2 linked regions of the Yarrowia lipolytica genome follow. The protein of the gene in region 2 interacts with the protein of the main gene of each other region in a biochemical or structural test. Links are inferred from orthologs where the notes say so. Each region holds a gene or a part of one and is shown on either strand. Other genes may lie near its edges.

Region 1 (4,272 bases), on a different chromosome or scaffold from region 2:
AATGGGGTAAAAAGAATCGAAATACCCTGCTGGAAAAACAACAAAGCTCTAGCTATAAAACAAACCATTTTATGAAAGGATATGTTTTCTAATTAAAGTGAAGTAAAATCGGTTTGTTTTGTTGACCAAATGGTTGAAACTCTCAGACTTACCAACTTCATCAATAGTGGTCGTGAGACGTTTATTTTTGTTTCATCGAAATCCCCGTGGTCGTCTGAGTACATTTACGTCATTAATTTTGTCGCACAGCGACTTCATGTCCTTCAATGTGTGGGTTCGTGGCTAGACACCAAAAGCAACACTCAATAAACCTATTATCTTGACATGGCTGGACCCGCTCTTCCACAAAATTTCTGTAAGTGCCATTTGTCTTTCAATTGACCCCCATTGAACATCTCCAACGTTGACCATTCAACAGAGACACATCTGACGACCGTCACGGCACGAATCGCCCATACGAATCGTACTGCTAAAGACGGCGCATCTACTCCGGACAGCCCAGGGCCATCCGTATCTGACAGAAATAGTATTAACAAAATAAAGAAAATAAGTGGTTCTAGGGATGTAATGCACGGATAGCAACGTCGCACCACCAACGGCCTGTCCAACGGCCGGTCCAACGGCTCGTACAGCGAATGGCGTGTGCGACAAAACTGTAGACGCATGTCTCTTTTCTTGAAAGAAAGACAGAACGCCATTGTCTTGAACAACGGCTCGACAAGACTCGTTACATCTCAAACCGCCCGCTGAACATCTCCTCATCGCCCATATCCTCGTCCTCGTTATCACTCTCCATCATATCCTCATCTACAGTCTCCACGGGTCGAGAGGTGGGCCGGTGCTTGAAATGCTCATCCATGGACGACTCGCCAACAAAGGTGAAGCCCACGAAATTGTCCTGGATTCGTGGCGACAGTGGGGTGCCCACCTTCATCGACTTGAACAACGAGGTCGACGCCTCGGTGAACTCGGGGTCAAAGTTGGAAGTGTCAGTCTCCGACGCCACGTGTGGCTTGAACGGAGGAGGGATCTTCTTCTGGATGAGCTGGTCCCAGTCGATATCGTGGAAAAAGGGATGGCGCCGCAGCTCTCGAGCGTCATCCTGGGCTCCCAGCCGGTTTTCGGGGTTTCTGTTGAGCAGACCCTTGACGAACGATCGGCCCTCGGCAGACAAAGCATCCTTGGGGAACTTGACCTTGCCAAAAGCAATGTTCTTGTACATCTGCTGGGTGTCATCGGCGTGGAATGGCGACCAGCCGCAGCACATTTCGAAAATGAGCACGCCCAGCGACCAAAAGTCGACCATCTTGGTGTATCCGGACTCGTCCAGCAGCACCTCGGGGGCAAGGTACTCGGTGGTGCCGCAAAATGTGGACGTGGTGTCTCCCTGGGTCACATTGGCCTTGGACAGACCAAAGTCACACAGAGCAATGTGTCCGTTGGCGTCAAGCAGAATGTTTTCGGGCTTGAGGTCTCGGTACACAATGTTGTTGTCGTGCAGGTGTTCCAGCGCAATGACGAGCTCGGCGATGTAAAACTTGGCTCGCTGCTCGCTGAATCGGCCCTCTCGCTGCAGGTGCCAGAACAGTTCGCCTCCGCTCATGTAATCGGTAACAAAGTACAGGTCCGCCTCGGTCTGGAACGAAAACTTGAGGCCGACAATGAAGGGTGACTGGGTAGTAGAAGTTCGCACGAGAATGTCTCGCTCGCCAATTGTGTGAGCAATCTCCTTCTTCTGCACAACCACCTTCTTGGACAGCACCTTCATGGCGTAGATTCGGCGCGTGTCCTTCTTTCGCACCTGATAGACCTGGCCAAAGGTGCCCTTGCCAATGAGCCGCAGAATCTCAAAGTCCTCGGGGCCCATCTTCGTTCGCACCGTGTCTTCGTAGTACGCCTGCACTCGCACCTCGCCATTGACGTGCTCGCCCTCGACTCGGTTTTCCAGCGGGTACCACGCATCGAGCACCTTGCCGGGGCCCAGGATCGTCGAGATGCGCACGTGGCCCAGAAAGGCGTCGTTGTTGGCGCCGTCGTAGACGGAGATGACGAGCTCCGAGGCGTCACGGGCGGTCACGTCGAACACGGTCTCTTCCTTCCATGTGGGGTTGATGGATCCGACGGTGTGTCCCGACGCCATGATGGGCTTCTTGGGCATGATGTTGACGCCGGCGTTGGACGCCATAGGGGTGGTGTTGCCCATGGCCACGTCGTTAGGATCCGAGTCGCCGGTCTCGGTGATGAACTCGGAGGTGCCGAAGGTGCACACCACGTAGGGTCTGCAGTTGGGGGCGGCCTGCAGGTTTCGGGCGGCGACGATTTTCGCCACCAGTTTGGCCTTGGACGAGGTGGATTCTTCGAGCCCCACGTGCGGGGTTTTTTCCTGGATCTGGCCAAAGTTCATGGTGGTGGAGTTGAGCGACGACTTGCTGGAGGTTGGTTGGCTGACGGTTGGGGTGGTGGTGTTGGACGACAGCGACTTCTTTTTCAGATCGAGTTCCTGGAGACGGTCCCGGGATTGACGTTTGCCGTGGATGATCTCGCCGGAGACGTTGACGGTTTCGCTGGTGCACACGGCCTTGGGGACTTGTTGAAGGTGTGTGGTGGATGGAGATCGCAGGATCGGGGGCGCGGGCGACGGGGCGTTTGTGTTGGTGCTGGGGCCTGTGGTTGTGTTGGAGTAACTGCCCGGCGGGGGGGTTGGGGGAACCTGTTTGGTGTCGGTTGACGGTGGGGGCTGACCTTTTTGTGGAACGAAAACAGAGAGCGGGGGAACTCCACCATAGTGTGTTTGAGGCAGCTAGGGGAGACGGTCGTGGGGGAGCCTTCTGTGTCGTGTGTGGTGTCGAGCTATTACACTACTGTAGCTGGGTGTGATGAAGAACAAGCTGCGAGTTATCGCTAAGAAAACTTTCTTTATCGATAACGATTGGCGGTGGACGCTGCTTTGTGGGGGTTTGGCGGGTGATTTTTGGCAAATGGGACTGAAAATGGGGTCTTTGGACCCGACCAAAACGATGTTACCACCCCGATTCCCGTCAGAAGCTCTGCCCGTCGCCACAAACACCCCTCGGCCTCTCACTAACACATTCTAATTATGCATTCTATCTACAACCCTAGCCCATGACGTTGCTTCAATTACCAAGAAAAAGAATAGTGTGATTGGAGCGACGGCCTTCACGGCGACTGCGGCGGCGGGGGCGGCGGACGTGGCTGGCTAGGAATTCCGCAGATTGAGAATCTCCAAGGACCACGCATCTCTCACCTGCGCGGCTCTGGGTTCTGTGTGTCTACACACACGGCTGGGTGGCCCCTACCACGTCTACTTTCTGCTTATATCGCTCTCCAGATTTGGGCTTGCTTTCCGACGCAAAAAAATTAGCACGAGGCTGACAAGCCGCAGCCCGAAACCAGCACTAGCTGTGCGATGAGCGTTGGGTTTTGGGCGGGAAAAGGGCGATTTGGACGCGAGCCGCGCGGGCGGGTTTTCCCGACTTTTTCCACAATAAATGCGATTTTTGTCCGACGTTTGAGCCCCCCTCCAAACAACCGCCGCGGACTTGTTGTCGGACCCACATTCAACTTTTTTAATATATGCTTTGAGACGCGCATGTAAGTGAAAATGTGGGCGTATAGATGTGGAATACAAGTACGAGTATCAGCATGGCGAGTGGGAATCGACCGTCTCAGAGATTTATCGGTCCACTAGGAGTAATCTGAATCAAGAGAACGTGGTCATAAGTACAAGTAGAACTCGTGCAACTCGTAGAACTCCGTCATCATAAGCTGATTTTGCTTGTAGAATGGAGAGTAAATATAAGAATTTGGTTAATTTGAATTTAAAAATAAAATAAAGAAGATTTAAATCGGATAATTTGAATTTAAAAAATGATTTAAATCGAAATGAGGATAGAATAGAGTCTGATAAGACCATAAAGTATCCGATAAGGCAGCACCCTCTTTATTAGTTGTTTTTCTTTCCCATCGCGGTTTTTGTCGTTGCAAAAGAGTCATAAAACCCCCCTTCACTATCTCCAATGTACAATACACAATGTACAACCCCGGGTCAATCTCAAAGCCTGATTGATAATCCACACTTTTTTGCAACTCTATATACCACTGATTACCAATACAGTTGAACATGTGGGGATGTCCGGGATTCGACGTTGGTTCATGTGTCACGTGACCCTTTTGGTTGCCCCGAGTTTGTGCTGTTTTTCTCTCATTATCGTTTGTTTTTTCATCTTTACCAATCTTGTAACAAAACATCAA
Region 2 (4,077 bases):
CATCGCAAAAGCAAGACCACAACAATGACTAGATGGGCTAGAAATATTGTGGTAATTGTAAACATAGAAACACCAGAAACAACCCGGCAACCAGCCCAAGTCGTTGTATATCTCTGTCCATCACACGGTGCTCGTCCTCCACCCCGTAATGGAACCTATAGAAGCCAGTTATCAATCAGGCACACCGAGGCCTATGCACGATAGACTCAGGGGATATCGTTGGACACGATACGCAATCACCAATGTCGCTTCGGCAGCCAATTACGCCATTGACGGGGCGGGGAGCGAATTGCCGATGTCTTGGTCCAACACAGATGATTGGATAGTTTGACCCAGCCCCGACCGCGTATAGCTGATGGGAAGCGAATCACAGCGCACTCGCGGGAATACACAGCAGCGCCAATGCCATATCTACTCTCTCCACCGTACCTGGTATACATTTATTACTCATATGTTGAAAAATCAAACGTCATAGGCTCGAACATTGTTGAACTGTTAAACTGAGTGGTGTTCTCGGCCGAGTGCTGCTGTGTTAAATAAAAATGTGCTCTGGACTACTCCAGATCAAGTTCTCCGACAATCTCGTCGTACATGTCAGTGTCGGAAGAATACGTGAGATCATAATCTTCTTCGTCGTCACCGTTGATCACATCGGACCTCATAATCTTGGGCCCCAGCGTAGGCGACAGAGAATGCCTCCTTGCGTTGAGAGAAATACATGCGACTCGCTTCATTCTCTTATTGAAAAAGAACCAGCTTAATGCCCACAGGGCGCCAGGCTCGTCGGCGAGAATCGTGGCGTCGGGCGTGAAGGAAAAGATTGTGCAGTTGTGCATCTCGATGCTCTTGTCCAGTACGTCCCACATCCGGGGCGGGATCGGCATACCCAGGCCGAACAGCACGTTGTTGAAGGACGAAATCACGGCCGATGCGCTCGGCTCGCGCTGAAAGTCGTCCGGCTGTAGCACGGAAAAGTCGTGATTAGGGTCTGACGCATTGAGAATCGCAATCAGATAAGCAAACACCTTCCTACTGGCAGTTTCGCTCATATCTCCAAAGGGAGAGGAGAGTAGAGGCGATAGCGAGCCGACAGAGACGCCTGCTCTCGAGGAAGAATAGGTTCTTTGCTTGGGCACTTTGCTCACGCCCTTGGGGCTTCGATTGCTCATCTTGCTGACGCTGCTGTCCAACGATTTGCCGTATTGGTAGTAGTTGTCAAAGGTGAGCACTTGTGGGGGAGAGAAAGATGTGCCGAGGGTGGAGATGGAGGTGAATGAGTCGAGCGCGTCTTGATGGTACGACAGCTGCTTGTCGAGCACCTTGTACAGCTTCTTGTCCGAGGAAGCGGGTTTGGTGGTGTACAGGTCAATGTTGCCGGAAACGTGGCATTCGGGTGTGTCGAATTTGAGTGCTGATGCCACCTCGTCGAGTGTGTGATCTTGTATGAACTGGGTTAGTGTGAGTTGATGGGTTGTGAGATGGGGGAAGAGCAATCACGGCACAGATAGAGAGACTAAGATGCGCATCTGGGTTTGTGGTTGGGCTTGTGTCTGTGTCGCTTGTCGAGAGCACGGTATGTTTGCGTGTACCCTCTGCGTGTTTCTCTGTGTGTGTCGCTGTGTGCGCCTTTCTGTGTGCCTCTCTGTATGTCTCTGTGTGTCTATCCTCGTGTGTATCGACAACTCTGTCTGCTAAAATCGACTTGCACATCCTGAAACCTCTTCTTATCACCACACCACCCCGGTAACACGCGCTGAGTGATTTTCGTCGCGTGTTAGCCGGTGTCTGAGGGATAAACATTCAAGAAACACCCCTTCATCGCCAACCTCGACTGATTGAAGGGCAAAAATCAATCGCCACAAACCCCCCTCGGTATCCCATTTCGTCCCCAAGACGTCCGACCTCGCCAAACAGCTTATCGAACACAATCTCTGTACCGTCTCCAACCACTTACCTTCATTGTGATGTGTGTTGCCGGCGGCTTTGTGTAACTTGGGCGGGCCGTGTGAGTATTGCTGAGTGTCGTGGAGGGTCGAATCGACGGCGTTTGATCTGACTAGGGTCGTTTTGATGTTCCTTTTCCGGTTGTGGGACTGGCTGAGTTTGAGTCCAAATGTATGTCATGTCAGGACTGCGTGGTGGATGTATAGCGCCTACATGCATAGTCTGATCAGGTGGGGAAGGCGTGGATCTGGACGGGGGGAAGGAGGAGGGAGCACAGATAAGACCACCGGACGGCTTAGTAATACAACAACGGCCCCGAACCGCTCCCCTAGCCCATATCGCCGTCTACATGGTGCCCTAAACCTCCCCATACTCTGATAGACCCCCACAAACACGCCCCATAAACAAGGTCCCATCATTATACCCGCATCGCCCGTCTCACCGTGCCGCCAATCACATAAGCTTATACTGCCACAATGGGAACTCCCACTTCTAGAACGGGACGCAGCAGCAGAGAACGTGCAGTGTAGCGGTGGAGTTTGAGCGTCAGGAAGGCTGGTGATCTGGTGTCCTAATGAGTCACGCCGTATTTGGCAGAGATTTAGCTGTCTTAGACGGTCGTCGAGTACTCGTGCTCGTATTGTACTCGTACTTGTAGCTCCAGGTAACATCACTTGGATATTGCTGTCATTCTAAACTTGCTGTTTAATTAATTTATTTAGATTGGGAGAATAACAAATGGCAGTTATTTTATGTAAAAAAAGAAGATATTTATACAAGCGACGAGGATTTATACATGTAAAATTTGCGAGAAAACCACAATTTTTTGTGTTATCGGGAATTACTTTTGCAAGTTTTTCCCATTTTTTCCCATTTTTTTCCAACTTTTCCCATTTTCCCCAATTTTTCCCATTTTCCCCAATTTTTCCCATTTTCCCCATTTTCCCCATTTTCCCCATTTTCCCCATTTTCCCCTTTTCCCCATTTTCATGATAGCAAAAACATCACCTCACTTCACCTCTTACCTGCCACAGTGGACCCACTCGTCCAGTCCGAGATTTTCCGACCGACAATCCCGGCAACAACACCAACGAGATCTACCCGTACCCTGAACGGTTAGTAAGCACAATCTGAAACCAAACCCAACCTCCGTTACACCTCCAACCCCAACCCACAGAGATCCAGACAAGGCGCAGGCGCTCTTCCTTGCTATCGTGACGTCAGATTCACGTGATCCCGCTGCTTCCTTATAATGGGCCTCTACGACACTAAGCCGGGCGGTCGGTTGAAACTCAAGGGCGACAAGGGCAAAGTAACCAAGTCGAAAAAGAAAAAGATCTCCAAGACGTCTTCTCCAGCACCAGCACCATCCTCATCACCACCAACAATGTCACTGCCTTCAGCCAAGGATATCGCCAAGTCTCCTCACGATACAGAGCATGCCAAAGAGTCCATTTCGGAGACTCCTCCTTCTGTGGAGACCAAGGGCGCGATCCCTATTCCGGGATCGTCCTCCAAGCGAATGGACAAGGCCAAGATTGCCGCGAGCACCTCGCCAGTGGAGACCACCCGAACGCCTAAAGAGCCGTATCTGACTGACGCCCAGAAGAAGTTTGAGGAGGCCAAGAAAGAGAGAGTGAGTATGCAAGTGAGCGGACAGGGGGGATGTGGTGGCCGATCGAAGGTCGGCTTTCACCGCACATTATCTGCGTTTGTTCAGGCCTACAGTAGTAGAACAGCAGGGCCGCATTTCGATCTCGAACAAATAACACTATCATTTTGAGCGTTGACTGTCTGGATCAGGATTTTTCAGCGGCATCAAGTGGGGTCAATATCGTCTTATTTCTGCGTTGTTGAACCTCCTGTTGTGGCAATGTGTACTGTCAGAAGTCGATGTTGGTTGACAGACTACCGACAAGTGGTTTACAATGATCTTGGTCAGCTTTGAAGGTCAGCTTTAATGGGAAGACCAGCTTCTATTACTTGACTACCGACCTACAGTTGTCCGCCGATATCTCTCCAGACAGACAGACGACACACTCTTCTGATCCTCCCTACCAGGTAACTTCAGGCTGTCTAACCGCCGTAAGAATATACTAACCCAGCTCATGGAAAAGATGACGAAGCAGAAAC

The links.
Region 1: of the proteins of YALI1_F14213g (region 2) and YALI1_D17770g, one has a biochemical effect on the other in vitro, tested with the Saccharomyces cerevisiae proteins (5 studies listed by BioGRID). The link is inferred for Yarrowia lipolytica from reciprocal best matches to the Saccharomyces cerevisiae genes MAF1 and SCH9.

The regions. Positions count from the first base shown.
Region 1 is NC_090773.1:1,774,621-1,778,892, forward strand, and holds YALI1_D17770g (uncharacterized protein), read right to left. Parts: upstream 2,405-4,272; coding exon 728-2,404; downstream 1-727. UniProt on the Saccharomyces cerevisiae protein: Protein kinase that is part of growth control pathway which is at least partially redundant with the cAMP pathway. Regulates both BCY1 phosphorylation and MPK1 activity.
Region 2 is NC_090775.1:1,419,246-1,423,322, reverse strand, and holds YALI1_F14213g (uncharacterized protein), read right to left. Parts: upstream 1,961-4,077; coding exon 1,955-1,960; intron 1,449-1,954; coding exon 555-1,448; downstream 1-554. Other genes in the region: YALI1_F14207g (uncharacterized protein), read right to left, coding at 2,154-2,615; YALI1_F14201g (uncharacterized protein), read left to right, coding at 3,197-3,727. UniProt on the Saccharomyces cerevisiae protein: Mediator of diverse signals that repress RNA polymerase III transcription. Inhibits the de novo assembly of TFIIIB onto DNA.